5 linked regions of the Danio rerio genome follow. The protein of the gene in region 3 interacts with the protein of the main gene of each other region in a pairwise test. Links are inferred from orthologs where the notes say so. Each region holds a gene or a part of one and is shown on either strand. Other genes may lie near its edges.

Region 1 (6,619 bases), on a different chromosome or scaffold from region 3:
CCTTTTGATTTGCAGCGAGACCGAGGGATCAACAAAAGAAACTGATCATGGAACTTTAATGGTCTACAACAGGGCTGCTCAATCCTGTTCCTGGAGAGCCACCTTCCTGCAGATTTCAGTTGCTAACCATATCAAACACACCTGCCTGTAATTATCACATGGTGTTCAGGTCCTAATTAATTGGTTCAGGTGTGTTTGATACGGGTAGCAGCTGAAATCTGCAGGAAGGTAGATCTCCAGGAACAGGATTGAGCAGCCCTGGTCTACAAGCTGTATATGGCCTAACAAGCTCGCTGACATAAACCGGGGCAGAATTGTGCAAAGCTTTATATGCAAAAAGAAGGATTTTAAAATCAACTCTGAATTTTATAGGAAGCCAGTGTAAGGAGGCGAGGACAAGGGGGATATGATCTCTTTTCTTAGTTCCTGTTATCAATCTGGCGGCTGCATTCTGGACCAACTGAAGCCGAGAGAGTGTTGACTGAGGTAGACCAATGTACAAGGAGTTGCAGTAGTCCAACTGAGAGGAGATTAAAGCATGGGTCACAGTTTCCAGATCTTTGTTAGACTAGATAAATTAGTATTTAGCTTAAAGTGACATTTAAAGGCTTATCTAGGGTAAATTAGGGTGAAGTTTGGGTAATTAGGCAAGTCATTGTATAACAGTGGTTTGTTCTGGAGACAATCCAACACTAATATTGCTGAAGGGGGCTAATAATATTGACCTTAAAATGGGTAATATATATATATATATATATATATATATATATATATATATATATATATATATATATATATATATATATATATATATATATATATATATATATATATATATATATATATAACCTGCTTTTATTACAGCTATTCTAAAAGATGAGACTTTACCCAGCATCAAAATTTTTTTAAAGGAAATACTGTGTATTGTATAGTTTCCTGGGTCTGTTAAACATAAAGAAAAGAATAAAAATTTCACAGGAGGGTGAATAATTTTGCCTTCAGCTGTTCATGCATCCAAATATTGCTTGGCTTTACATGAAATCTGCATCTTTTATCAATGCAAACATGACGTGATGTGCAAATCGCATAGTGATTTACGAGCATGTGAATTACCTGTTGAATGCTGGTGTTTCTGTCAGATGTAAAGCAGCAGCTGATTGTTGAGTTAGTTTTCTTTGCTCTGAGCTGGATGAGTTTTTTTCTGGCCATAATATACACAAAAAATGTATATATAGTTAAAGTAAGAATTATTAGCCATCCTGTTTAATTTTTTAAATAACTTAATTTTTAATTAACGCAGGGACACATTTCTAATCATGCTAGTGTTAATAACTCATCTCTAATAACTGATTTATTTTCTCTTTGTCATGATGACAGCAAATAATGTTAGACTGGATATTCTTCAAGACACTTCTATACAGCTTAAAGTGGCATGTAAAGGCTTCACTAGGGTAATTAGGGTAAAGTTAGGGTAATTAGGCAAGTCATTGTATAACAGTGGTTTGTTCTGGAGACAATCCAACACTAATATTGCTGAAGGGGGTTAATAATATTGACCATAAAATGCTTTTTAAAAATCAGGGTCCCCACACTTTTTGAATGTACTTGAATTCCAAATGTACGGATTCAAGGCATGTAACAAACGCAAAAACAAACACAGGTTTTTTAATTTGGCAGAATTACAATTGAAATAAAATAGGTTTTTGGTGTTATTTGAACAATTATACTGTGCTGCTGTCAAAAACAGAATTAAAAAAAGTAAAATTAATCATTAATAATTTCATTTAAAGGTTAATTAATTAGCATTCATTTATTTTCTTTTCGGCGTAGTCACTTTACTAATCAGGTATTGCCACTGCAGAATGAACCACCAACTTATCCAGCATATGTTTTACACAGTGAATGTCCTTCCAGCTGCAACCCATCAATGGGACACACCCATACACACTATTTCACACACACACACACACACTACGGCCAATTTAGTTCACCCAATTCCCCTATAGCGCATGTGTTTGGACTGTGGGGGAAACTGGAGCACCCGGAGGAAACCCACAACAACACGGGGAGAACATGCAAACTCCACACAGAAACACCAACTGACCCAGCCGGAAATCAAACCAGCGACCTTCTTGTTGTAAGGCAACATTTAAATGTTACATTATACATTTAAATCTTGTACAACAACACTAACAAATAATGCGCATTTGATAAATATTTCAGAAACCGCATTGAATACTACATGTTTTATTAAAGTTCTTTCAACATGACTTTAAATTGGCACAGTGTTTAAAAATGACTAAGAAGAGTCTAAATTACTAGTAAGGACCTTCATGGCACTGCGTATGCTGGGGTATGAGTTACAGAGGTGCTTGATATTATAATTAACGGCGCTTTAAAAAGTCCTTAAAACTGCTGTTTACCAAAGAGACGAAACAAATAATACTACGAAAATTTCCTTAATCCAGTTAATATCATTAATTCATTTTCTTTTCGGCTTAGTCCCATAAACCGCCAACTTATCCAGCATGTGTTTTACGCAGTGGATGCCCTTCCAGCCGCAACCCAACACTGGGAAACACCCATACACACTCATTCACACTTATACACTATGGCCAATTTAGCTCATCAATTCCCCTATAGCGCATGTGGTGAAATCCGGAGCACCCGGAGGAAACCCACACCAACACAGGCAGAACATGCAAACTCCACACAGAAACACCAACTGACCCAGCCGAGGCTCGAACCAGCGACCTTCTTGCTGTGAGGCGATTGTGCTACCCACTGCGCCACCGTGACGCCCTGGTAAATATCGCTTGAGAAAAATCCTTTTGCCCTCCACTGTATATATATTATGGCCATAAAAAAAATTCCAGTTTGGAACAGAGAAAACTAACTCATCTGACAGAAACACCAGCATTGAACAGGTAATTCACATGCTCGTAAATCACTATGCGGTTTGCACATCACGTCATGTTTGCATTGATAAAAGATGCAGATTTCATGTAAAGCCAAGCAATGTTTGGATGCATGAACAGCTGAAGGCAGAATTATTCGCCCTCCTGTAAGATTGTTATTCAGTTTAAATGATGTTTGAAATAAAAAAAATGTTTGGATTGCATTTCTTAACTCCTAATGTTGTAGTTAACACACTCAATGCACATCCCATAATTTCTAAAATATCAGCCTCTACCTAATGGTAGATATGCCAGTTTATAGTACTTAATATATATGAAAAATCATAAAATATAAAGTGCAATATGATATAATGTTCAAAATAAAACATTTGTGAGTACTAAATCCTCTTAAAGTATGCCATAAAATATTTCAGATTCTCAATGAACATGTTTTCTTGCTTCTTCTTTCACAATAAAACCAAAATCGAGTGTAGTGGTGCAACAGGACTATGTTTGTTTGATTTTTTTGTGTGTAAACCAACAATGCTGTGTGTGTCATTATTTAAAACAGCCATTACTGAAATTAATTAAAACAGCCAGAACACGCTCAGCTGCTTGGTAGAGAGGCAGTCAAAGGGTTAACAGACCAAGCAAATGTTCACAATATTTCCTATAATATAGTGTTTTCCTCTGGAGAAAGTGTGCTTTCTTTTAGTTCGGCTGAAATAAAAGCAGTTAGATGATTTTAATATAATTTTAGGGAAATAATTGTAACCCTCTTTAGTAATATATACTTTGCTTGTCTGCAGAACAAACCACTGTTGCACAATAACTACCCTAATGAACATAATTAACCTAGTTAAGCCTTTAAATGTCTCTTTAAATCTTAATACTAGAATCTTGAAGAATATCTAGTCAAATATTGTGCTGTCATCATGATGAAAACAAAAGAAATTAGTAAGAAATCAATTAGTAATCCATATGTTGGCAAAATCTCTCCATCAAACAACCATTAAATTAAATTTATCTCCAATCAATTTATTTTAAATATATTTATATACAACATTTTTTAAAAGAATTCAAATTTCATATGAGAACTGTTCACATTTTGAAGTCATATAACTGTCTTTGCATGTGATATGTAATGCTCTGAGCAGATCATATGCAGATTTGCATGTGTGCATTGGTAATTGCAGTGTGCATGTGTGTGTGTGTGTGTGTGTGTCTTACCTGTCGTCTCCTGCTCGTCTCTCCTCTCTCTACGCGCCTCCAGCTTCACACTCCGCATTTGAAGTGACTTAAGAAAGAGAACAGGAACAATCACTTTGTTCTCATTTTTCAGATGAGTACCTTCGCAGAGAAGGAAGGAAGGGAGGGAGAGGAAGTCAACAAGCCTGTGCTTTCCTGACCCAAAATAAGGAAACACTAGATACACATCTCCATTCCTCTTCGAAACACTGAAGCTGACGCTGGAGAGACCAGATCAGACACTGAACGTATGATTTCTGATGATGACCTTTGACCTTTACTCATAACTAGGCCCAGATGGAATCTGAGCGCGTGCAGAAATCTGAAATCAACTCTAAATCTGTTTATTTACTTATGAAAATGTGTGTAAATAATTACAGACGTGGACTAAATTGTTTTCTTGTGTTTTATCTAGTTCAAAATATCAACAAATTCTTAAATCAAGAGGCATTTTCTGGACAAGTAAAAAATATTGCCTTGTTTTCAGAAATAAAGAGTCAAAATTAAGTGAGTTTTTCTAAACAATATGTGTATATATTAGCGCTGTCAAAATTAGTGCAATTAATTTTAAATAATTAACGTGTTAAAAAAATTTACGCCTTTAACGCAGTTCCAGGGTTTTTTTTTTACTTCCTGTTGTGGTGGACGTGAGTTTAACATGCAAGAAATGTGGATAAGACCAAGGAAGCACTTTTTGAAGGCAAGTTCCAGTATAAAACAATTAGTTGCATCACAGGTTATCCAGAGTTTCATGCAATTTCGGGTGTTTCATTTTTAACTTTCGACTTGGCGACAGAAAGAAAATCCACCGCATTTCGTGACTCGGTGTTTCTTTAAGGAAATAAAATCGCTGCTTAGGCTCAGGGCCGGAGCAAGCTGAACTGCCGCTCTAGGCAGAGGACGATCACGCCGCCCTCAACCCCAATGTGAAAACGAAAGTGACCGGTAATGAAAATGAAGTGAGGTGTCGCGGCCCTCTATTCCAGCGCACTATGCACAGATATAACTGAGGACGCGCGGGTGCTGAGGGAGGGAGTGAGGGAGGTGTCGCAGACACTGCGCTCTCAATTCTGCCGCCCTATGCGCGGATATAAATGAGGACATGCAGGTGCTGATGGAGGTGTCGCTTACGCCGGCTTCTCTATTCTGTCGTCTATGCGCGAATATATCTGAGGGGGGAGGTGTCGCGGACATAACTGAGGACGCAGGTGGTAAGGGAGGTGTCGCGGATGCCGCCCTCTCTATACTGCCGCTCTAGGCGGCCGCCTAGGTCGCCTCTATGGATGCGCCGGCCCTGCTTAGGCTACACGGTAGAATTTTCATAAGAGTATAATCTTAATCATATTAAAATCGGAGTATTGGTGTCGTATGTGAATGTACTCAGAAAGTCTCTGGTGAAGTCGCGAGCTGTCAAAGACAGGGCATTACTCTGCCTTTCAGCATGAGCCCTCCAAGTTTTGCGTGTTTCCTCATTAGACGCAATGAAAGCGTATGCGTCGCGATGTTGTGTCAGAATCCTTGTGAAATACAGTAATACTTAAGGACGCTTAGTTTAAGCAAATTTGATGAACGTGATCATGCGTGTTGAGTCTGAAGGGAGTCGCTCCAGCGCGTTGTGTGTGTGTCTGTGTGTGTGTGTCAGGCTCGTTGAGGGGTGTCAGGGGTGGAGTGAGCGGCGTATCTGAGTAGGGGCGTGTGCACGAGAGACGTACCTGAAGGAAGGTGGGGGTGAGTTGCGCGTGACAGCTGAAGAGCTAGGAGGGATGGGGGGGAGAGGGATGGGCAATGTATATAACGACCGGTTTGCGGTTGTTGCTAGAGCGGATACGTTTGCGGCCGGAAGTTAACGCAAATTATTTCTATTATTTATTAAATTTCTCATTTGTTGTATTTTATTAACGTATACCCCCACCCCAACCCTAAACCCAACCGTCACAGTAATGTAAAAACTGTAGTTGTACCGAGTATTAGTTATGTTATCTATTAAGTTACCCAATAAAATAATTTTTTTAACGCCTACCCCCACCCCAACCCTAAACCCAACCCTCACAGCACTGTAAAAATATTATTATTGTTATACAGTGTCAAAAAAAAAATGCTGCTTTAATAATGTGCACATTGCACTTCCGGCCAGCCGCATATCCGATCTAGACTTTACCCCGGTTTGCGGGAGATTATCCTTCATTTGTGGGCATTTGGGAGTCTCTGTGCACTTGAGGGATACTCCTAGTCTTAGCAACTGGATGAATGTAAAGGAGGATTAAGCAAAATTGTTTCTACTCTATAACTAATGTTCTCAACTCACAGCAATAAAACTTTACAATGAGTGCAACAGTTTGTATTCTATAGTTTATTATTATAATTTTTCATTTTCTATATCTGCTATTCCTGTATTTTGGCATTTTTTGCAGTCCACTTAGAATCCAACATGGAAATCAATGTTTTCTTTATTGGCATTGATTGTTTTGAAATTT
Region 2 (6,516 bases), on a different chromosome or scaffold from region 3:
GAAAAGTAAGATTTAGTGTGACCGTTTTAAAAAGAAGAAGAAACTAAATATAATTTTAACCTGGGGATTTTGATGAAGGATACAACCCCTAAATGTCTGCAGTAAATATCGGAGATACAAACACAGCAAGATTTTTGGAAAATAGAGGAAGAATAAGGAATAAATCTAAAAAAGTAGATCCTGATTTCCTGATGCATTATTTGGATACACCAATGAATTAAAGGAATTAACACTAATGAATTAAAACACTAATGAATTAAAGATAAGATTAACGGGAGCATTTTAAAATGGAAGATGGATGCAACCAGTGGATATCTGCAGTAAATATCTGAGATACAAGCACAGCAAGGTTTTTGGAGAAGGGAGGAAGAATTAGGAATAAAAAAAACCCCAAAAAAACTCTAGATCCTAATTTTCAAAGGAACTAAAAAAGGCCAATATTCAGAAACACCAATGATAGATAAATGAATTAAAAATAAGATTAATGGGAACTTTTTAAAAAGGAATTTCCCTCATTCTCAGGTATTCACAGACATTAATTAGGAAATAAGAAATATGAAAATGATAGGAATTGTATTAATCAAATACATAATATATATTTGGATAGAGGTCACTGTAGACTAAAAAAACACATTCAATATTAAACAAAATTTTAACATTCAATATTAGGAGTAATAATGGACAAATTACTACAATAGTCATGATTAATAAAAAATGTAATGGTTTATTAAATAATAATAATAATAATAATAATAATTATTATTATAATAATAATAATAATAATAATAATAATAATAATAATAATAATAATAATAATAATAATAATAATGCTTAATAAAAACAGCAAATATAAAGTTTTAATTCTTACATTTTGATAATGCATTTTTTAGAAAAACAATATTGTGAAAGTAGTTAATATAAAATAAACATGCATTATTAATGGAATATATGCATAAATTAATACATAATAGTACATATATTAATAATACATAATATTATGCAACTAATAATAAATTGAATGGCTTATTTATATTGCTTTTCACATTTAACCCTTTTAGACATCAATTACAAAATAAATTTGCAAACAGAATTAAACTTTTTATTTGCAATAAAAATAATATTTATTATTAGTTGTAAAATAATTTTTATCACATTCAATATTAACTAATTGCATAATATTAATAGATAATATGAATTATGTAATTACTAAAACATTTAATTGCTAATTTAACATTGTTTTTCATATTAAATACTTTTAGACACATCAATTCAGAAATGATTTTGCAAAGAGTTAAACCTTTTGTTTGTAATAAAAATAATTCTTTATTTTAGTTGTAAAATATTTGTAAAAAAAAAATCACATTCAATATCAACTAATTGCAACACTTCATGATCATTAGAAATAATCTCTTTTAGGTGCACCACAATTATTAGTTATAACATTTGTATCATTAACTGTTTACTTAACATATTCTCCTCATAACCAGAGACTATTTTTAAATTCCTACCATTTTTTCATTGCAAATGTTTTATGATAACAATAATGATAATAATACTGATGATGATGAATAAAATGTCTGTCTGCAGGGTGTTTTTCAGTAAGCTTTTCCTAGAGAGTGCTGTGGTGAAATGCGGCTGGCAAAGAGCATTCGCTTAAAGGATGGCATTACCGCATTCCCCACACTTACAAGCACACACCGTCTGCAGCGCTGCCACGACAACTGAAACCAGTGAGAGGGGGGTGAGAAAACACAGCCCAAAATCAAAAAGAAAAATATAACCCAATGATCACGGTGTGACTTCGGCTAACAGAGCAGAACAAACTGACATTCAGACCCCTCCATAATTACAGACCAGAAATGTTCTGGACAGAAGCTTAGATTTTAATTAGCTGCTGATTTATGCAACGCACTTGGATGTGTAACAAAGACCACAAACTCCACTTAAGAGTGTCCAAATGCACTGATGTAAATTGCAATCCAGTCATGTTAGTGATATTCAAAGTAATTTATTTTTTGGTTGGGTAAAATCTGTGCCAAAGAATGTCAAGGACATGACCTTTGTCCTCATAACTGAGCTTTTCAGGTTCACATTAGCAGGTAATTCACATTAGGTTGATGGATTATTAACATACAAACATGCACACTTACTAGTGATCGAGTAAATGTCCAGATTTTGAGACTAACTGTGAGTGAACGCTGGTGCCATTTTATGCTGCAGAATCCTCTATTTTCCCCTTCTCTTTTTGTCCTTTCCTCCATTTCCTTGGGTTTATTCTGCACGTCTTTATTTAAACAGCTTTGCGGTTTCAGTGTAACTTTGTGTAGATGTGTAACATCTGTGTGTCCTTTTGTCTTGTGTTGCTAAGCGGACAGAGCATTGGTATCCAGCTAATAATAAGAGAAGTTGATAGCAAGGAGGTGAGAAGGACACTTAAATCTTCACTGCTTCCTTTTATATTGTCTAGAGTATATTTATGAACAGGCTAAAATCAGATGGTTTGTAAAATGTGAAATTATGATTAGAATAAATGTTCTATAATGCAGCCTGTGTTAATATATAGGAAAGTGACATCATAAAGAGATTAATTGGAACGCACTGATACAAATAGAAGCAAAGCTAAAAATGACGTATGTGATACAAATAATTGAAGCTATATTTTTAAATATCACATATACAAAGCATCAATTAAATTAGGACACAAGGGCAACGCAAACGGCAAAGGCGCAGTTTATGAAATGCATAAACAAAATGCTTCGATTTCTAACGAAATTCACGAGCTAAAAAAGAAAGAGAAAATTCAAACGATTTTATTAAATGAGCTGCGTTATTGATAAAGCATTTTCAGCGCGGACAGGATCAATCCTTTATCATTTTTAATTTTCCGCTCCGCTGCTTTTTAGCTCTTGTGAGGAACACCAGGTGCTCTCAGAGACTGGACGTCCTTTAAAAAGCGGGACTTTAAAAAAATAAATTATTGTTGAAAACAAAAACATTTTTTTTCGGCGTGAATAAAAAAAGCAAGTGCTGATTAATGTTTTGATATGATTTAAAACAGATGCGGGGCACAAATGGGTATTATTATTATTTTTCTTTGTTCATAAAATGCCTACAATAAAATTGCACATGTTTTCATTCAGCTTTAAGGAATCATGAATTCCTGTGCTGATTTAAACAACTGTCTTTCTCTGGTGATAACCGGGCAAGCGAGAGAGAAAGAGATAGAGAGAGGGCACGAAAGTTTTTTTTTAAATGTCATTCCAATGCGCTCGGCCGTATAATGAGAGATCAGCAAAAATACACCATTCCCTTCACCATCTCTCATCCTCTCATATTCTCTCTCTCTTTTTCTCTCTCTCTCTGTATCGGTCTTTTGCACTATACAGAATTCAACGCAGGAAAAAAAGGCTTGTGTTTTGAGGATCACGGCACCTGCTACTGATTAACCCGGGGATATGAGTTTAAAAAAATTAAAACTATCTCTCATTGTGGACTTACAAATTTGGGATAAGGCTTTCACAGGTGTTAACTGGACCACACGTCATTCTAGTTAACCGGCTGACACGGTGAAGGCCGTTTGATGGCACGCGCATGATGATGACAGTCGCACGCGCATCACACACACACATACACTTCTGGCTTTTCTGGCTTCTGGAAAAATCTACACCGTCTGACTTGCATTACTTGGAAAGTTTAGGTTGTTTTCGGTCTCATTTTGGATCGATTAAGCAACACCAGTGAGCACCTCGACTGAAAAGCTGTGCGCGTGTCGGCGCTCAGTGCGCAGATGACTTTTGGCATCCTTTTACCGCAAATCAAACGTTACCACATTTACATTGTTTATTACAATATATCAAATACAATAACATCACTATCTGAACTGACTTACCGATCAGCATGTTGTGAAAAGGTAGGCTTATCCTTGTTTCCCCCCAAAAAAGAGAAACCAACCAACCAAAAAAAAAAAAAAAAAAAAGGAAACGAGAAATCAGCACAATCAAAATGGTTAAATACTCTCCGACAGCTCGATATATGTCTTTTCCTCTCAGATTTCTCACTCTTCGATGAGTCTCTCACTCTTGTTTCGGCTCCTGGAGTTGATGTGTCGGAGGGATCGTTACAGACGCTCGCAAGTGACGCGCGCACTGCTCCGCTGATCTGCGCGCGCCCGACGGGGAAGAGGAGGAGGAGGATGGAGAGAGAAAGAGTGTATGAGCGACAGTCTTTTACCCCCCATATACTCCCCCTTCGCCACCACCACCTCCTCTCCCGCTCGCTCTTTTTGCTGCCTGCCGCTTAACCTGAACGAACGGCACAGATGGGGAAATTAGCTGGTGCTATTTTCTCCTTTCATGGTCCTTGATTTCGGCTAAATAATTCTGCGCGCGTCTGTGACTGGGGGTGTGTGTTTCTTCCAGCTCCAAACATTCTAGATAATTTAGCTGGAGAATATTAACTGGGATTGTGAAATTGAAGAATATGTTGAAGAAAAAATGTTTTAATTAATAAATATCAAGTGCTACTGTGCATTACAGCTCTGTAAACAGATAATTAGTGTGTTCAAATCAAGAAAGATTACTACTTTGTTGCGTCGAAGTGTTGTCCAAACTCGGTCTCGGAGGGCCGGTGGCCTCGAAAGTTCAGCTCCAACCGTAATCAAACACACCTAAATTAGCTAATCAAGCTCTTACTAAATATACTAGAAACTTCCTGGCAGGTGTGTTAGAGCTAAGCAGGACACCGGCCCTCCAGGACTGAGTTTGGACAACCCTGAATTAAGGATAATATTGCGTGCACCACTGTCGTTTTAAATGTCCGATATATATATATATATATATATATATATATATATATATATATATATATATATATATATATATATATATATATATATATGTTTATTTATTTATTTATTTATTTATAAGTCACAGTCCACCAAAAACGTACTTAGTTGTCAATTTGCTCCAATATGCACACATTAAAAAATCCAGGGTTCCACACAATTCATTCATGTTGCCAAACACAAATGCATTAAATCAACATAACTAATTTAAGTTGATTGAACATAAAACAAATGAGTTCTTCTACACCAAAAATCTCCAAAATTGTGTTGTTTCAGTTCATTTTAAATAAGTAGCTTGAACAAGCAGCATTTTTTTTTTGAGTGTAGGAAACTTTTATAGAACATTAAATGGAGTTACCTTGTTAAACAAAAAATTATCAATCATCTACTCCCTAAAAACTTAATTAAGGCAGACCAGCTCTTGAGCACTGTTCTTCTCATTCTCTCAAACCCCCTCTACCCCCTTTATTTCCTCACTTCCCATTAACAATCCTATAACCCTCTCTTCACTCCTAGGTTTAACAGGGGTGTCCCATCACTCAAAAATATTACAGAGATGTTACCCCCACTCTAAGTCTCTGGGCATCATCTTAGGACGCCCGATCAACCTACCTACCTGTTCACTGTTTATCCCCTTTTTCCCCGCTGTTCCCTTACCATCCCTTTCATCCCTATACAATAAAGTCTAGCTTAAAGTGGGGCATTGTCCATGCTGGTGAAAGAAGTATTTTAAGTGTTGATCAGTCATAAAATGTAGATCAAGAGGAATAATAACTTGCTGCATGTGGATGTAGATTTAATGTAGTAATTGTAAATCTAATAAAGTTTCATTTCACTTCATGATCCACAGACCTTAATTTGGTTTTGCCTGTATATGTGGGGTTTTGACTTTTAAATTGATTATTGCTGCTGACTTGCAATTTATAAATCACTAATGATCAGGTAATATCACTAATGATAAAATCCTTGTGAACCAGAAGCTGCTGAGACATTTCACTATACTCACTGTAAAAAATGCTGGGTTCCACATAATCAATTTGTTTTGGTATAACATGAAGGAACAAGGCTAACTTATTAGTTTTGAAAACTTTAAGTGGACTGAACATACACTACCTGACAAAAAGTCTCGTCGCTTACCCAAGTTTTAGGAACAGCAAATAATAACTTGAGTTAGTTGATCATTTGGTATCAGAAGTGGCTTAAATGAAAGACAATTTTACCAAACTAAAATATGATCATGCATCTTACCCCAGACATGCTAAATAAAGTTCATGTCTGGTGAACGGGCTGGCCAATCCTGGAGCACCTTGACCTTTGCTTTTAGAAACTTTAATGTGGAGACTGAAGCATGAGGAGCACTATCATGCTGAAGAATTTGCCCTCTCCTGTGATTTGTAATGTAATGGGCAGCACAAATGTCTTGATACATCAGGTTGTTGATGTTGCCATCCACTCTGCAGATCTCTCGCACGCCCCATACTGAACCCCAAACCATGATTTTTCCTTCACCAAACTTGACTGATTTCTGTAAGAATGTTGGGTCCAGGCAGGTCCTAATTGGCCTTCTGCAGTATTTGTGATGATTGGGATGCAGTTCAACAGACGATTCTTCTAAAAAATCTACCTTCTGCCACTTTTCCATTTGATCAACTGGAAGTCGATTTCTGATTTGT
Region 3 (6,042 bases):
TGTGAATAATTATATTATTCATAATTAATTAATTATTTGTTGCCTACCGTTTCAACTACCTGGGGTCCGTTCTTCGTACGTGGATTACTCAGTTAGCTGGATTTGGATATTGACGATTTGACACGATCCAGGATCGTTTCGTTCTTCAAAGCTGATCCGAGAGTTGTTGTCATAGCAACAGTTCTGCTAGGTCAAACCTGATCGGGAGCAGGTTCAATTCATATAAACAGGATTAGATCGGCTCAGTTCAAGCAAAGATAATACAGAAAGTATGTTCCGAATTCTAATATTTTCTTACAGTAGTAGTTATATACACTTGGGAAAATGGTACATATTTTTTTAACTATATATATATATATATATATATATATATATATATATATATATATATATATATATATATATATATATATATATATATAAAGTTATAGTCATTAATAAAATAAATAAAGTTATACATATTAATAAAACTTATGCAATCTGCACCATCGAAATGAAAGTACAGACTGTCACCTTGTGGTGCAAAGAGAAAACTTATTGATATGAACTTTTTAGATCGCTTTAGTACAAATTGTGTATAATAGAAATGCAGAATATGTGACTTATTTTAAAGCAATAATACATTTATGCTGTCATAAACATTTTTTGATAGTTAATAGTGATTTGAAGCTTCACAAAAGTTGCAGACGCCTTTACCAATATCAAAATGCTTTTGTAAACAACCAGTTATTCTTTACGCCGATTAAAAAACGGCTACAATAATATAGACAATATTTTCTAAATTTAGAACTAAATACACTGATATGCACTGAAATACATGATGAATACTCTTGACACAAGAAAGTGTAAAGCCTGCAGCTCACAACAAATGTGGAAGGTTATTGCGTGTCATATTTAACAAACCGTTTCTGCTAATTTGACGTAATTTTGCTCACATGGATAATTGAATATTAATCAGATGATGTCATTACGCAGCTGTGCCGTCAGCCAATCGTTGCATTGCTGATCATGATTTCGAGGATCGATAGATCTGTCCTTCACAACACAAGCAGCGATCTCAGATCAGTTTATCCAGACATTCTAATCTGATTCGCGAACTTGTTTGAAGAACCAAATTAGCGAGAGATCAGTTATCAAGATTAAAAGATCCCGGATCTGTCAAATCATCTTAGATCATTTAAGCGAGGTACGAAGAACGGACCCCTGACCTGCATGGTCTTTGTTTTACCCATAACCAAATCATAAATAAATAAAGGTAATGTACACGCAAATTACCAACTGTCAATCGCTTTTTCCGTGGGACTCTGGCATGAATAGGCGTATAATCTTTATAATGGCGTCGACAAACTTGGTTGGTAAAAAGGTGCACAACCAACAGTAGCTAAAACTACTAAGTACAAGCGTGAAAGCAAAAGATTAAAGGAGTGTACTGATGCCGTGACACATTACCTGATGGATTCAAAACACAGAAGAGTCGTTAGATAGGGACAAGCTGAATTAAATATCACGTTTAACAACTAAAGTGAGACGCGATCCAGCGGTACATCCTTGATAAACTGTCCAACGTGCACTGCTCTTTAGGGTTTTGTGCTCAAAGCTTGATGAGCATTTTCAGCGGTATAGTGTGGTAGGAGAGCTTTTTAGAAATGCTAGCTGAAACGCCAATATGGATGTGGATAGTTTTCATTATAAAATGGCATTTTAAAACTAGGACGTATTAGTGTAAACGGGGCTGTGTCGGTCATCGGCGATGGACAATGGCATCGTCTATCTATTCAAATGTCTGAGTATTCAAAGTAGTGTGGTAAACAATATATTAGGAATCGTGTCATGTTCTCACTCTTTAAAAATGTACAAATGTGCGAAATGTAAAACCTTACCCTCAATAAAATCCTTGGTCTATTCTACGCAAGCTATGATGACTTTCACCTTGATATTTTAGCACGGATGTATGCCTGTATCTGCTGGCAGCAGCATGTCTGTGATGTACGTCATCACACAAGTGACATGATCACGGTCTTCACGGCTGAGCTCTAAAAGTCATTCAGTGAAAAATGATACAATGTATAAGATCTTAAATATAAAAAAAAATATATATATATATGCAAATTCTTTATAGAAATACTGGAAATGGGTTTAAAAATCATATCACTGTTATTAAAAAAAAAAAATCTATCGCGATATATATTGATATCAAATTATTGTCCAGCCCTACCTTTACCTTCAGCAGAATTCAAGTAGGCCATTTTAATCTAAATGAATTCCGAGATTAATCTAGATTAAAAAAAGTTTAAAACAATTGTCATTTTGTTTCTTCAGCACGGCGATTGGCATTCGCTGCAAAGATGGAGTGGTGTTTGGTGTAGAGAAGTTGGTACTGTCCAAGCTGTATGAGGAAGGCTCCAATAAGCGCATTTTCAATATTGATCGGCACGTTGGAATGGTAAGAACATCGAACAAGTTGTTTCTTTCTCCGTTCAGTACAATTGTAAAATTTAACAGTCTACTTTGGATGCATCTAAGGTTTTATATAGATCATTTTATTATTACTCCCTTATTTTTTGTATTATTTAATGAGCCAACACGGGTCTTCTGTAGTGTCTTTCTTTCAAAAACCTTCTCAAACTTTTAATAGCATTTTTTTTAATCAGATCTTGAATAATAATTTTGATCTTTTTGCATTTTACACTTCCATTATTAATTTTTGAAGGGTGTGTGTTGGTTGTAGGGCTGCACGATATTGAAAAAAAAACATACTTATTACATTTATATTGCAATTTTTCTCAATATAACTTAAACATTTGATCGGGGTGATTTTGTAGGGGAGTGCATGAAACAATCAATAAATTATAAGCAGAGATAAATAGAGCAAATACAGAAATAAAGCAGTCAAAGGTGTACAGATACAGACATACAAAAATCAAATGTACAATAAAGCTGTATAAAACCATAAATTGTGCGGCTGTGGTGTCAAGAGCTGTATTCATTACTACCGTGTTACTGTTATTATTTTAAATGGATTGATTTTGCCATAAAAATAGATGTTGATATGTCAAGATGGAATAACCAATAATGGAATAACTTTTTTTTTCTGTTTTAATATTTAAAAAGTGTAGTTATTTTTTAATTTTTATAAGTTACATTTTATAAGCATTATTAATTGTCTTCAATCAAATAATTCTTCTGTTACATTCTAATATCCTTATTAGCTGCTCAAGAAATATTTCACATCATTATGCATAGTATTGTTTTCACAAATTTTTATTTAATAGATTTAATTTATTTAATGCATATTTTATTTTATGGAATTCAAAAGAACAGCAAAAGCTTTCAAAAAAGTTTTGTAACATGCATTATTACTTAATAAAAAATTCTTTATAAAAAAGCCAGCATTTGAACTGTAGTGTAAAACTACATATATTAATTTCTGTCTATGTGTGTTGTAGGCTGTGGCTGGTCTTCTAGCAGATGCACGATCTCTCTCAGAAGTGGCCAGAGAAGAGGCTTCAAGCTTTCGCTCCAACTATGGCCATGACATCCCACTGAAGGTAAGAGAGATTAAAGCAATAGATAACCCCACAAAACGGTTCACCATCTAGTTACTGTTAAACATTTCTAAAAAAAACCTCAGTCATCACCAGTAGTCCATATGAATGAATGAATAAATTAATTAATTAATAATAAAAAAACATATTCAATTGAGTTTATCTTTAATTTTTAAACACTTTTTACAATTCAAATTGTGTCAAAGCAGCTTAACGTGGATGAAGAAAAGAGAGCAAAGGACATATTATTTCAGACTGTGAAAGATTCTAGAATGTTGGTGTTGTTTTAGTTGAATTGAAACAGTTTCAATTCAGTTTAGTATAAATGTCACTGTTGAAGTTCAGATCAGTGCAAATGCCAGAGGGGACAGTAGCAAGAAACCAAAGTTCACCAATGGGTGGATGTGAAGAAAATCAAAACCTCAGGAGAAATCAGGCTCAGTTGGTCATGGATAGGGGCCTGTACCATAAAGCTGAGTTAGCCAGTTAAATTTCAGTTTGGTTTGCACCAATTTTGGTATTAAGGAAACATAAAGGCAGCTTGACTTTATCTAGTCTTTGTTGTCATGGTATTATGGAGCTGTTGAGCTGCCTTCATGGTACCTAAAACCCAAGATTTGCACAAACTAATGACCTGTTTCTACTGAGTGGTACAGTACGGGTCACAGTTAATAGGCTTGCATTTCCACTGCCAAAAGGGTAGCAAAAGCACTTCTCACAAAACAGATGCTTTATAGACATAAATACTTGTGTATAAATGTTCATTACTAACCTTTCTATGAACATGATACGATTATAACTGCAGATCAATAATAGGGTGAAATACTGTAACGTCTGCAATTATATAAAATAAATAAATACAACATGTATATGAACGCATACAGACCCTTACAGTCTCAGATATGTGACCAATTACAGAAAAACTACACACAGCAGACATTTAGTCCTTAATTGGGTAAAAAAAAAAAAAACACGCAACATGTAGCCCAGAGTCAGTGCAAACCTCTCGTCTGCATCTTTATTCTTCCCCAGCACATGTAACGTCTGTTACAGATTAATTCCATCATTCCGAGTTCATAATAGTCCAAAAGGTGATGATAATAGTTAAACATGGCAGTGTTCATCTTTTAGGTCGCTGAAAATGATCATTCGCTCCTTTATTTTTTCCGGCTTCTCCTTTGTTTTTTCGCACATCAGTCTCGCATTTGCCAGTTTCTGAAAGGATCGGATGTCTGAAGCACTTCAATAATCATGCGCACGTTATTATCATCAGCTCAAGAAGTTTGCTATTTCAAATATAGATGCGCAGCTCGTGCTTTAGACGGCCTTGTAAACAACTATGGTGGACAGGGTCGATTCTGCTCTTCCTCTTGGCTTTGTGGTTGTTCATAAAGACAATAGCCCCTTTCACACAGTGATACCGGTAAATATCCGGAAAATTTCCGGAACGACTTTACCGGTATATTCAAAAAAGCGCTGTTCACACAGACGAGGACATTACGGAAATTTTCCGGAAAAGAGCATTCACACATCCATTCCAAAATACCGGTAAATTCTGACATCATTCACCACAAGTGAGCTTTAAACGGCTGCGCTTGTATTTGTAAACATTTGACTAAATTACATACTCTGTGGATGATCAATATTGTGAACAACTTTCACAGGATCACTTTCGCATGTCGAGATGTTCATAATATCTGCGTGTGCAGGCTCTCATATGCGCACGCAAAGCTTGAAGGTAAACAAACAACGGCTTATCATAAGCATCTCATCGATGATTATTTACACAGTTGGCATTAAGAAGACCATACAAACGTAATCTGACTAACTTCTAGCAGCTAAATGTGTCTGGAAAAATATTCAAAGGCTTTTATCCTCACAAACCGCGCGGACGTAAATGCGTCTGACTGTTGTGATTGGCTAAAGCAGACGTCTCACGTCAGCACGTTCTAGACGTGCACGCGCTTATTACGGGAATCTTCCTTCTGCATTCACACAGCGCAGCATTCCGGCAAATTGCCGGTAATGTTACAACTTCTCTTTCCGGAAAATAGCCAGAACGAATTTTCCGGTATTTTCAAAAAGGACCTGTTCACACATACAACCGTTCCGGAAAATTGCCGGCAATTTTCCGGAAAGGTCTGTATGTGTGAAAGGGGCTATAGACAAGGTTTGTTTGAGCGAGGGTCGACCATGGCTTGTTCTTATATGTATATATTATTAAGGTGTAATGTCTCGGTTGCGTATTTAAAAAATGGCGGTTCCTTTGTTTTTATTCTCCAAGCTTGTGCATGAGCAAGTGACTTATCTCTGTAAACCAATCGTGTTTAGGTGTGCGTCTTGCTCCGCCTTTTGGTACCCTTTTGTTGTGCTAGGTACCCTTCCGAAAGGGTACCCAAAAAGTGGTACAGTGTGGTTCGCTTTTTGGTACTTTTTGACAGTAGAAACGGCCATAAAAGCATACCTAATCGAACCACTCAGTAGAAATGGGCCATAA
Region 4 (6,042 bases), on a different chromosome or scaffold from region 3:
ACACACACACACACCCACCCAAAGACACACACAACTGAAAGAACGATTAGAACTCAAAAACTCACTCCAAAAGAAATGTAATGTGTGTTTGTAATCTATATGCTCTGCCCTAAAGCTAAAGTAATTAAAATAGTATATGCATGCGTTAATGAAGTCCCTTTTGATCTTATATAGTATAGAAATGCCTAGATGCTATCTGATGTGCGTTTAGAGTGTCGTGTTTAGTAGCATTACGTTTCTCCTGCTATTTTACAACCATATGACAATAACTTTTACAGCTTGCATTCTTTAATGCTCAGAGGTAAGGTCCAGCTGTATGCTCAGGGACGACCCTCATTATGCATATCAACGGTCAAACGCTCAAATCCTTGCCCTGAAACCACTGGTCACTCAGTAGAAAATAGGTGTGACTTGACCCATAGTTAAAACCCATTTTCTCCCAGACATTGGAGCAGAAGGGTTTAGGAGTCTTTAACAGTTGTGTGGAACTGAACTAGATTTGCCATTCTTTTATCTAAACTCTTTATTTGCTCGCTTGCTTCTTTTATATGTTTTTGTTGTTATGTTTTGTACGTTTGTTTTGATATGTTAGACTAGTCAATAAATCAGGCTATAACCATGTTGTCTTTGTTTTGCCTCACAGAAAAGGTCAATTTAACGACAGAGCGTTTGCTACAAGCTTTACTAAAACAAGTTTACAGTTTACCAAAACGTCTAAACTATTCATCTACATCACATGTAGCAGGGCTGGAGTGGGACTCCTTTTCAGCCCTGGAGTTTCAAGCAGACCGGCCCACCTCAGTTCACGACTGACTATATTAATATAAGGTCATTTCCAATTCAGTTTCTAATTATGCTATCATGTCTTTTTCAAGAAAACAGCTGCTTTAGAACTTTAAATGTTCAACAACCGTACAGTTTGATATGTCTCAACAATAAAAATGAAAAAAAAAAAAAAAAAAAAAAAAAAAATAATAATAATAATTTAGCCGGAATAATAATTACATCATCATTACATGCAGGCTGCATTTTGCTCATGGGGCTGTGAGACAATAAATAACCGGAGCTGCGGCAAAATAATGAATAAAAAGAGTGAGGCTTTGTTCAATAAATATATAAATGAAAAAAAAAGTGCAACTGCTGAGAGTGCAAGCAGCTAGAAACACCAGCCCTCGCGGCCAAAAAACGGACCGGCCCACCGGAAACTCTCCCGGTCCTCCTGATTGGCCAATCCGGCCCTGACAAATACTTATAATTCCCTTTCTAAATAAATAAATAATTACAGTCTGCTCAGACGAGCGGGCAAAATCATTGTTATATTTATTTAGTCAAATTAACTATAAGTTAATTCAGAATATTAATAAACATTATTATTGATCTTTAATATTCACTATATACACTAATTATTTTTTTAAATACTGTTTTAGTATGCGAATTAGGACGCAGCATTTGTTTATCCTCCTACACAAATCAATGGTAACAGGTTTTCAGCATTCTCCTAAATATTTTCTTTCGTGTTCAACAGAGTAAAGAAAGTCAAAGGTTAGGAAACACTCGAGGGAGAGTATATAATGATTGATTACAATTTTTGCATGAACTAAACCTTTAAAAAAAACTAGCATTTGTCAGCCGATATTGATATGGCCACAGACATATCGTGCATCCTAAAGTGTATATTTGCGCATTTACCCCTAAAGTCTCTGTGCAGCAGGTGTCTCCAGAGTGAAGCATCATGGGTGGCGGTGTTCAGGTGCCGACACACAGCCGACAGCGAGACGAGAGATCGAACGTCCAGCAGACGCAGCAAACGCAGCAGCAGCTCAGGAGGAAGAACAGGCAGACCGAAGAGCAGAGGCAGACCCAGAGCTATACACACATGCACAAAGACATTTATTAAACACTTTGACAAACCCGTGTGAACAGTACATGCACACAAAGCACTCTGACACACACGTGTGAACAGTAAACACACACTCACCCTGTCTGGCAGTGGCCATGAGCGGATACACCAGCTGATCTCTGACCAGGCGAGAGAGTCTGCGCAGATCTCTGTAGACCACACCTGAGCTGCCGCCTGCACACACACATGGCAGGTCATTCAGTCCATAATCCTGCTGTGCTTTTACAGATGATTAATGCGTGTGTGTGTGTGTGTGTGTGTGTGTGTGTGTGTGTGTGTGTGTGTGTGTGTGTGTGTGTGTGAGCTTCACCTGTCCACTCAGCTGTCACATACTCGTCAGGTTTGAGCAGCAGTTTGCGGGAATTCTCCAAACTCGTCTCCATCTTCAGGACGGCTGATCAAAAGCAAAAACAAGATTGTTTTATTCCCCCATCGGCAGATTATTCTGCTTGTTTTAAAGAAATTTTCACTCATTACTTCAGAAAACACCACTATATTTTTGGCTTGTCTAGAAAATGCTTCTTGATTTAAGAATTTCGACATCTCTGGACTAGAAACGAGACAACAAAATCTAGGAAAAGCATTTTTACAGGATAAAAAACATTAAATAAAAGAAATCTTAGCTGTAAAAACTAAGTCACTTCACTGTTCTAATGTCGACTGTCATGTAATGATGTGCACCCTTTGTAAAGCTGCTTTGGAATGATAATAATAGTAAAAAACACTTTACAAATACACTTAAATTGAACATATCAGTGTTACATACGGTGTATATTACCATTTATGACCAGAGTTTGAACCATGGGCACGGCCACCACCGACACCAGGCTGTTCTCCAGCAGAGGGTGGACATACTGGATTCTAAACACACCCCCTGCGGCCTGCCAGCCAATCGGCATCTCCCCTGAGCTCACGGCTCCGCCCTGAAGCGAGAAGGAGAGAGTAAATACAGAGGACATTTTCATTCTTGGGTGAACTTTCCCTTTAGGATAGAAAGAACATAGCCCAGGTGAAGTGGATATCACCTGTGGGATGAAGCCGGTCTCCAGCAGCAGCAGGTGTAGCGCCAGCATTAGGCAGTCGGAGGGGCTTCTGCAGGTGGAGGAGTCTAGCAGCCGCTCCAGAGCGAGAGGGAGGAGACCGTCTTCAGCCTCACAGCAGAGCAGGGGAGGAGCCGCAGCACACACACACTCCTGCTGCTGCTGCTGCTGATCCATACAGTCCTGCTGAAGATCCACACACTCCTGCTGCTGATCCACACGCTCCAGCAGATCCTGATCCACACACTCCTGCACATGCTGCTCCATCACACTGCTGCTACTGCTGACATGTGATCCACCAGCCTGAACACATACACACACACACACACACACACACACACACACACACACACACACACACACACACGCCAAGTCATGGCTTCAGTCCGTTTGTCTTTTTGTTTTTATTTTCATGGCTTGTAAGATAACCCCAGCAGTGCAGTTTCAGAATTATAAGGGGAACCAACAGTTTTAACCCAAAAATGAAAAGTCTGTCTGATGAAGAAGAACCGGAGTTAGAGATTCAGTTAAAAAGAAAGTTTGCTGAAGATAGTTTGTAGTTTCATCAGCAGAAGCCAACTTCAACACTCACTTAGAGTTCGTAGGCCACTCTGTACACAAAATGCTACACAGGGACTCAAAGAAATCGTCTCCCACCTCAGGGGCACCACCACAGCCACCACAGTGTAAACACAATATGATTTTGCTGTTGACATTATTAAAGTACTTAAATAGATAAATAAATAAATAAATAAATAGCAGCCACTAAATTATTGTGGATTGATTGGTGCCACTGGCGTAGCAGATTCACTGCTATTCCCCCTCTCGATCTTCATTGACAGCCCGCACACACCTTCAATAGTCAGCAATGGCAATTTCATATTTAACTTAAGGTACATCAATAGAGGAAGCTGTATTAATAATATTGTGGCTCAAAAAGGAATATGGATAAATGATATTATTAATCTGTATAGTGGGTGTGTGTGTATGTAGTAATGTCTTTTGTTCAGTTTGTTCATCATTTGTTTGTTTTATTAAATTATTCATTAATTTTAGACATGGCATATACTGTACAATAAAAGACTGTAAAAAATAACTGAAAAGTTTTATATATATATAAATATTGACTTTTATTTGGTTTGTGCATGTACTTGCTGAATTATTTCAAGAAATAAATTGCAATATTTCAAGAATAATTAATTAAAATGAATTAAAACCACATTATTTCATTTACCAGAAACATAAATACAACATTACACTGATTTTTTGTGTGTGTGCCACCCCAAGATTCAGCATGGCCTCTTCTGGCAAATCCTAAGATGTTCTGGGGATGCCACTGTCCCACCTGGGTTCAAAGTTCACCTAAAGAAGGTGGAGGGCAGAAACAAAGAGAATGCTGATATGACATATCTAGCTTCATCTTGTACAGCAGACGAAAAATAAAAATGAACTGATATAAATCAGAAGGCCAAACTAGATATGATCTGTGATTTGGCAGAAGGATTACAAGCGATGATCAGTGGAATGACTTGGCCAGGATTAATGGATGAAGATTCATCAAGCAAACAAGACCCAAAACTAGGGAAAATAAGGACATTATTTTGCTAGAGAAAGCTCACCAGAGGTAAGAGGACAGCAGAAGATAACAAAGGCAAAAAAGAAACATGAGACCCCGCTGCCGAATGAGTCTCCAGTGAGCCAAGCTCTGAAACTAACTGCTGTGCTGAAGAGGAGCACTCAGTCCGTAAATAAGTGATGCTGGGGATGAGTACAAAAATAAGATAATCTCAGGGGGTCAGTGAGTTAAGCAACAGGGCTCCGTACCTGTTAACATAAACAACATTCTCCCCAGGGGCATCGGTTACAGACAAAACTCACGAATGATCAGAATAGGTGAACTGTACAAAGCTGATGACGAATTAAGGCAATGATCATACCAAGAAGAAGATAAGGCTGCAGCTAGGGACAATACTAGGTAAAGCCCTTCAAGATGAGGGGCGGAAAGGGCTGAAACAATAAAATAAATAGGAGTTTACCCATACTGCTTAGACAGACGGGAGACTGAATTCAGTGTATGCACAGATAAGGGAAGTTCAAGAGGTGACAGATTTAGTGCCTGGATTATCAGACTAAAACTTTTAGGGCCGCAAACATCATGGGGGAAATGAACTTTGCCATTAGATGAGAAAGAAAAAAAAAGATAATTACTGAAAAACTGCAAAGACTAATAGCTGAATATAAAACACCAGAGCCAAAAGCCTCAGGTCACAAGGAAGAATAAAAGTAAATACAAATAAACGGATTTCAAACAAAAATCTGGAGAGAATGACTCTGTCTCTAAAGAGGAATGGGCAAAACTGACCCCAGAACAGAGACTAGAAATCATAGACAAGAGAAACTCAAAGAAAGAGTCTAAAACTAAAGCAGTTAAAAGCAACAAGAACGTTGTTAACAGTAACAGAGTCACCCAAATCTCAAGAGGACTAGGGGTGCCTGCCTCCAAGTAAAACAACCTTAATATATTATGATGGAATAATCTTTAACTGGTGGTAATTCACTTGCCTAAAAAAGCCAAAGAAACTTAAACAGCTTTCAATATTAAAGACTTCAGAGGTTATGTAGAAAAGGAAAACGTTTACAGATCACAAAAGGTGTTAGTAAACTGAAAGCTGCCAGCACAATATTAAAAAGTAGAGAAATAGGCTGGTTATTGATTAAAAAGTAAACCAGGAGGAGGAACTAAAGAGAATGGCCGAAACAATTAAAGCCAACACTAATAAAGTCAGAGAGAACTTAGGAGAAAAAATATAAATCAAGCACATAGTAGAAAATGACTGCAAAAAATTTTCATAAATAGGAATGTGATCAAACTGTGCCATTGCACCACCCCACTATAGACAATACCCTATTAATAAAAGGGAAAGAAAACAAATACAGGAATTAAAGCTGAAAGATAAATAGAGGAACTTGATAATGCACCAACAAAATTCCTTATACAAGTGTTTGCAAAACCAGATGGAGGGTGGAGGTTGGTAACAAAATAAACCAACAATACTAGATACAAGATACCCGATTAATGCAAGAGATGCTCCAGGAGCAGCC
Region 5 (6,681 bases), on a different chromosome or scaffold from region 3:
ATCTGTAATATTTATGAGGGCACACAAGGCCGATGTTGATTGTGAAATTTTCTCGTCTGCAGATTACGGTTGTTTCTTGTTTATGATTCAGAAATGTTTAAACTTTCAGAAGATATTCACTACCAACAGTGTCTTTTACATGTATAACATGCATGTAAAGCTTCTGCAATGTTATTCCTCAGACAAAAGCCATACAGTGTGCAGAACCATTGTGAAATGTTTGAGAAAAAACTACATTCAGTAGTCAGTGATCCATTTTTCTCCACATTACAGGAATAAAAACCAGTCCTTCTCCATTGTTGTCTTTTCTCTGTAATTTACATTGCATAGTGACTAAACTGTATTATTTACACTGGTGAAACATGTCTCACTAAGTAATGTAAGATGAAACATTTCAAGGCAGACCCTCCATTATTGCTTTGATCCAAAAAGCAGATTTGACTTCAGTCTAACATAAAAATATTTGCAACTAAAATCGTATAAAAATTCAGAACGATTAGATTATTAACTAAAGACATATTTATTTTTGTTAATTGAAGTAAGCTAAAAAGATGCCAGAACGTAATAGAAAGCGTACTTTAACAACTGCAATTAAGAGGGCACCTATGGTGCAAAATCAACATTTGGATGCTGTTTGGGCATAACTCTGTGTAGGTATAGTGTGTTCACGTTCACATCAGAGTGATATAAATGCAACAAGATATTTTTTTTTCTGACTTTAAAATAGGAACGTGACATAGGAATGTGGTTTTACCAAACCACCGAATTGACTGACAGTAGCACATTAACATGTCTCCATAGTAGTGCTTATAAACATGTTCACAGAACAGGATTTGCAGAGAAACTGTGATTAAAAGATCTGTTTCAACTCTGTGATCAACTGCACCTCAAGAATGAGTTTAACAAGTTTAAAACATTTTCAAAACAGTGCATGTTTAAAATAAAGAACAGAAAGGAAAACGTAATTCATATCTACTAGATTCACAATAGCTGCACGATGACAGTACAACTATATATAAGGGTGCTTTAAACACAACAGGAGTTCTGGTTTGTGGATGTTAAATCTGATTTATCATGTACAGTAATGGCTAACTTACATTTGCTGCCCATGCAAAAACAGTTAAATGTGCATGTATGTGTGTGTACTGCAAACTGAATCAGAATTTGTGTGTGACTCATCAAATGACCAAATATCTCTGTTTCTGTGACTGACTGCTGATAACCTGATGTGATGCAGCAGGAGTTGCAGACATGCGGGAACGGTGCAAAAAGAACCTGCTGATATGTGCAATATGCAGTAGTAGCCTAAGTATTGCAAACTACAGTTAAAGTCAGAAATTCCCTAAATATTTCCCAAATGATGTTTAACAGAGCAAAGAAATTTTCACAGTAGGTCTGATAGCATTTCTTTCTTCTGTAAAAAGTCTTATTTGTTTTATTTTGGCTAGAATAAAAACAGTTTTAGGGTTTAGTAATTAAAACCATAAGGTCAAAAGTATTAGCCCCTTTAAGCTATATTTTTTTCTAGTCTACAGATCAAACCATCATTATAAAATAACTTTCCTAATTACCCTAACCTGTCTAGTTAACCTAATTAACCTAGTTAAGCCTTTAGAAGTGTCCTGAAAATATTTAGTCAAATAATATTTACTGCCATCATGGCAAAGATAAAATAAATCAGTTATTAGAAATGAATTATTAAAACTATTATGTTTAGAAATCTGCTGAAAGAATCTTCTCTATATTAAACAAATTGGGGGAAAAATAACCAGGGGGTCTTTTAATTCAGGGGGTTTAATAAATACTTCAACTGTACATATTTGTCTTAATATTTTGTTTAAAATTTATTTATGAAGTAAATAAATTTCAGTTCTTGTTGTTTGAGTTTCCCAAAACCTTTTTTGAGTCCTTTGCCACCAAATATATACATTTCGAATAAATATTTTTTTAAGACTCACAAATAAAAAAGCTTTTGTTGCATTCAAAATAGTTTATCCAGCTGACATTTTCTTAGTCATTTTTCTTAAAAAAAAATTTTACAGTATAACAATTAATTATAAATTATTCCAATCTTTATATAAAGCTGTGCGGCACTGCAAAGCACTGTGGGTTTGTAGTAGTGGATTGGTTTGTGCTGGAAGGAGACCTCAAGCTGCAGCAACCTGATTCATCCTGTGGAGATCCAGTGGGGAAGAAGGAAGTGGACAAAATTAAGGTGGAGGACAAGAAGGAAGAAAGAGGAGGACGAGATGGAGGATACAATAATTGAGAAGGAGTAGGTGGAAGATAAGATTAAGAAGGAGAAGAAGATTAAAAAGAAAATGAATGGAGGGAAAGGGAGAAGAAAAAAGGGGGAAGATAGAGAAGGCAATGATAGAAAAGGAGGAGGTGGATGACAAGATTAAGTAGGAGGAGAAGATTAAAGAGAAGAATGATTGAAGGAGAGGGTGAAGGAAAAAGATGAAGAGAAGATGGAGGAGAATGATGGAGAAGGAGGAAGTGGATGGCGATTAACGAGGAGAAGATTAAAGACAAGAATGATTGAAGGACAGAAAAGGAAAAAAGAAGAGACGATGGATAAGGAGGAGGTGGATGACAAGATTAAGGAGGAGGAGAAGTTTAAATAGAAAAAGGATTGAAGGAAAGGGAGAAGGAAAAAAGAGGAAGAGGAGATGGAGAAGGATGGAACACAATGAGAAAACAATAAAAATATATTTATTCAACAATGTACTTTATTGTGTCTGGTGTTGTGATTATTTCCTCTTTATGTATAATTTAAGTGCTAAAAAATACACACATGCTGCAAAGCTGAAGTATTCGTCATCATACCTTTATTTAATTTTCATGCTTATAGTTGTGTTTGTTTAATTATCACCTACCTTTGAAATAAAATCTTTCCTAAACAAGTTTCAAATTAAAATGTAACATTTTATCTGTAACAATAAACCTAAAAAATTAGTTTGTATGTTTTTGGTCAATTTTTGTCATTAAAGGTAAAACAGAGATATTTTAACAATTTAACAACAACAGTGTAAAAAGCAGTTTAAAACGACATTTATTTATTTATTTATTTATTTATTTATTATACATTTTTTTATGTAGCAAGCTTGCTTGGGCGCGGGACTGATGCGCGTGCACGCCGAGCCAAAGTGTCAACATACGATTGTGGCGCGAAATTTCTTTCAGCTTCTTCTCAGGAATAAACGACAGGTAAAATGTAATTTCTGTTCTAAAAAAAATTAAAAATAATTAATTAACAACGTTATGACAAGGAACAAGACACATTTTTTTATCACAGCGCTTCAACAAAACGTACATGTAAATTAGCCGGTTTAGCCGCAAGTTTTAAATGATTTATGGTAAACTTGTTACCAAATTACGTGGTTAATAGCATGCCAAATCACAGGTATTTTATTATAACTTAAACGTTCTTTTTGTCTCATTCAAAGTATGAAAGTTTTGGAGGAACAAACTTTGGAAGAGGAGTCGGGATACCAAGATGATGAGGTGATTTACATTCATTTTCAGGCAGCCACAGCCCATTCAATCGTGCAAAAACATGCTTTTTTATTTAACCGTGTTAGGTCTTGTGTTTATAAAAAATATAACATCATAATGGTGCATAAAGCAAAACACTCATGTCAAAACCATAAAATACAACTGTACAGTAAAGTGGTGTACAGTTCTAACACAGCCTAAACATTAAATGGAATAGTCGTTATTAATACATATTAGAGGTATCTCTTTTTTTACTTCATAATTCAGAAAAAGACTGTAACCAGTAACAACAATAAAGTATTGTAGAATAAAATACTGTTTATAATCAGGCTAATTATGAGCACATCGATCTGTTAAAACCTTCAGATTAAAGATATGAATAAAACTAAAGTTGGTTAAAATGAATGCTGCTAAAGTGGAGATTTATGGCACAGTACAGAAGAGGAAAACTCATTTTGATTGACAATATTGAAATTGAAATCCACTGCCCAATGAAAAAAAAATGTGTGATAAAAGAAACACTCACATTGTATTTTGGCTGTTATCTTTACATAAGACTGATAAACACTTTATGAAAACCCCAAATTCTCAAAACTGACAAGCACATGATTTTTTAACCTACAGTTTCTCAACTTAAATCTGAAAATCCCCACTTGTTTTTTATTTATTTGTTGTTTCTATGTAATGTGATGAACATTTGCTATCAAATCTCTTCCAGGAATCCTTTTTTCAAGACATTGAGCTCTTGCAGAAGCATGGCATTGTAAGTAAAATGTTGTTATTATGAAGTTATGAAATGATCATGAAAGTGGTTCTCACCCATAATGATCTTTCTGAAGAACGTGGCCGACATAAAGAAACTGAAGTCTGTAGGGATTTGTACGGTGAAAGGCATCCAGATGACCACACGCCGTGCTCTCTGTAACATAAAGGGACTTTCTGAAGCTAAAGTGGACAAAATTAAAGAAGCCGCTGGAAAGTTGCTGGTAATTTGATGTGTTGGTTGACATGATTTATATATTTTTTGCTGTATTTTGTAACTACTCATCGATCAAGGAGGTTGTAAATGTAATATGTTCTGTTCATTCATGCAGACATGCGGATTCCAGACAGCATCTGAATACTGCATCAAGAGAAAGCAAGTGTTTCACATCACAACTGGCAGTTTGGAGTTTGAGTAAGAAGCTTTATAGGTCTTACATTTTTAGACACCAAATTTTATTTGTGGCTAGAATTTGTTTTTGTGTGGTGAACTGAACAATTTAAGTATAATCTACAAAACTGGCAAGGTAAATAAACTGAAATATGTAAGTTTTGGAGGACTCATTTACTCCAATAAACTGAGGCAAAGAGTTTACTTTATTCATTTAGTTCAGTCAACTTATTAAGGTTTTCAGTGTACAAGCAGTAACATGTTGTTTTATATATGTTTTCCGATGAAAGTCTTACATTGTTGACATGAAAGGAGAAACGGTTTATTCATATTTACTTTAGCAAACTCCTTGGAGGAGGTGTGGAGAGTATGGCCATCACCGAGGCTTTTGGTGGTAGGGTGATGTTTTGATTTGAAACCATAATGATATGTTAGGCATTTTCCGTACATCACTTCTGCCAAAATGATATGTTTTTGTCTTTGTGAATTGTTTCCCATGCCTCATTTAGAATTCAGAACTGGAAAGACTCAGCTCTCACATACTCTGTGTGGTAAGAATGAATCTTGTGTAAATGTTAAATGCGGAATTTAATTCTCATTTTTAGACCATTCACATCATTTTGTTTTCTTTTTTCCCTTCAGTTACTGCTCAGCTTCCTGGGGAATTTGGGTACACAGGAGGAAAGGTCATCTTCATTGATACCGAAAACACCTTGTATCATTTGTGCATTTGCTTGCTGTGTGTGAGTGATTCATTTTACTAAATCCATTTCATATGGAGAAGTCATTCTGAACTTTTTACCTTAATAATTGTGAACATCAGTCGGCCTGAGAGGCTGAAGGACATCGCTGACAGATTCAATGTGGATCATGAAGCTGTTCTGGACAATGTGCTTTATGCACGTGCGTATACCAGTAAGAATAGCTGCTACTTCTTTGTTTAGTTTTTGTGTGTCATTTTACTTGAGAATCTATTTGGCTAGACAAAGAGGAGCCACAAAATGTGTGTTGTGTGTTTTGTTACAAATCTGTCTCTATTTTTAATTTTTGAGGTGAGCATCAGATGGAACTGCTAGATTTTGTTGCAGCCAAGTTTCATGAAGAAGGTGGTGTCTTCAAGCTTTTGGTGAGTCTGGTAAGAGATGGAAGAATGTGTAAATCTTCTGAGGTAACTTTTTAGGTAGAGCTTTTACTTAAAGTTTATTAAACATTTATTATAGTTAAGTGTAAAAAAGCTAAAAGAGCTGTTTTTGGATTAATGAAACTGATTGTATTTTTAAAATTGTTAGTTGGTACACATAAATTGCTCACCTGGAATATAGATTCCTGAAAATTCCATTTAACACACAAATTATTGAGAAGTTTCATGAATGGCAGCTATTGTTCGTTTGTAAAAAAATAATTCAAGCTGGTCAATTATTACAGTTTTACCTCTTGCAAAACTTAAACAAATTTGTCACAAATAGTAGTTTATAGCATTTATGGTAATGAGAATTTACTTTTCTATGTAAGCTGTTGACCAGTCACAGCAGAGTGCACTTTCTGGCAAATCAGAGCAGATAACACAGTGTTTAGAGACTGAATCCTTTAATAAATTGTTGTGGACTGTGAGAAAAAAGGTGATGCTGCATGTATAATTGAAGGTGAAATTATTAAATTATTAGTCCTGTAAAATACATACACACATACACACACACACACACACACACTCACCGGCCACTTAAAACCTTACTAGTACCAGGTTGGACCCCCTTTTGCCCTCAGAATTGCCTTGATCTTTTGTGGTATAGATTCAACATGATACTGGAAATATTCCTCAGACTATATACAAATAAATACTCAGACCAGCCCATCTGGCACTAACATCCATGCTACATTCAGTCACTAAAAGTACCCTTCTTCCCCATTCTGATGCTCTGTTTGAACTGCAGCAGATCGTCTTGACCATGCCTACATGCTTAAATGCATTGAGTTGCTGACAGGTGATTGGCTGATTAGAAATTTGCATTAATGAGCAGTTGGGAGGTGTA

Evidence for each region.
Region 1: the proteins of psma3 (region 3) and znf366 interact in binary tests that used the Homo sapiens proteins (3 or more experiments, as listed by UniProt). The link is inferred for Danio rerio from reciprocal best matches to the Homo sapiens genes PSMA3 and ZNF366.
Region 2: the proteins of psma3 (region 3) and znf385c interact in a two-hybrid assay, tested with the Homo sapiens proteins (2 studies listed by BioGRID). The two-hybrid records come from large-scale screens. The link is inferred for Danio rerio from reciprocal best matches to the Homo sapiens genes PSMA3 and ZNF385C.
Region 4: the proteins of psma3 (region 3) and fbxo7 interact in binary tests that used the Homo sapiens proteins (3 or more experiments, as listed by UniProt). The two-hybrid records come from large-scale screens. The link is inferred for Danio rerio from reciprocal best matches to the Homo sapiens genes PSMA3 and FBXO7.
Region 5: the proteins of psma3 (region 3) and dmc1 interact in binary tests that used the Homo sapiens proteins (3 or more experiments, as listed by UniProt). The two-hybrid records come from large-scale screens. The link is inferred for Danio rerio from reciprocal best matches to the Homo sapiens genes PSMA3 and DMC1.

Annotation. Positions count from the first base shown.
Region 1 is NC_133183.1:1,327,435-1,334,053, forward strand, and holds the start of znf366 (zinc finger protein 366), read right to left. Parts: upstream 4,161-6,619; 5' UTR 4,128-4,160; intron 1-4,127. UniProt on the Homo sapiens protein: Has transcriptional repression activity. Acts as a corepressor of ESR1; the function seems to involve CTBP1 and histone deacetylases.
Region 2 is NC_133178.1:16,523,863-16,530,378, reverse strand, and holds the start of znf385c (zinc finger protein 385C), read right to left. Parts: upstream 4,153-6,516; 5' UTR 3,900-4,152; coding exon 3,890-3,899; intron 2,391-3,889; exon of another isoform or gene 2,151-2,390; intron 1-2,150.
Region 3 is NC_133192.1:12,629,245-12,635,286, reverse strand, and holds part of psma3 (proteasome subunit alpha type-3), read left to right. Parts: intron 1-2,319; coding exon 2,320-2,443; intron 2,444-3,446; coding exon 3,447-3,548; intron 3,549-6,042. UniProt on the Homo sapiens protein: Component of the 20S core proteasome complex involved in the proteolytic degradation of most intracellular proteins. This complex plays numerous essential roles within the cell by associating with different regulatory particles.
Region 4 is NC_133179.1:946,392-952,433, reverse strand, and holds part of fbxo7 (F-box only protein 7), read right to left. Parts: intron 3,244-6,042; coding exon 2,926-3,243; intron 2,824-2,925; coding exon 2,679-2,823; intron 2,295-2,678; coding exon 2,211-2,294; intron 2,075-2,210; coding exon 1,979-2,074; intron 1,867-1,978; coding exon 1,690-1,866; intron 1-1,689. UniProt on the Homo sapiens protein: Substrate recognition component of a SCF (SKP1-CUL1-F-box protein) E3 ubiquitin-protein ligase complex which mediates the ubiquitination and subsequent proteasomal degradation of target proteins and plays a role in several biological processes such as cell cycle, cell proliferation, or maintenance of chromosome stability.
Region 5 is NC_133187.1:21,019,439-21,026,119, forward strand, and holds the start of dmc1 (meiotic recombination protein DMC1/LIM15 homolog), read left to right. Parts: upstream 1-2,793; 5' UTR 2,794-2,993; intron 2,994-3,102; 5' UTR 3,103-3,210; intron 3,211-3,449; 5' UTR 3,450-3,450; coding exon 3,451-3,507; intron 3,508-4,216; coding exon 4,217-4,261; intron 4,262-4,337; coding exon 4,338-4,484; intron 4,485-4,592; coding exon 4,593-4,675; intron 4,676-4,992; coding exon 4,993-5,045; intron 5,046-5,160; coding exon 5,161-5,202; intron 5,203-5,293; coding exon 5,294-5,366; intron 5,367-5,474; coding exon 5,475-5,566; intron 5,567-5,703; coding exon 5,704-5,777; intron 5,778-6,681. UniProt on the Homo sapiens protein: Participates in meiotic recombination, specifically in homologous strand assimilation, which is required for the resolution of meiotic double-strand breaks.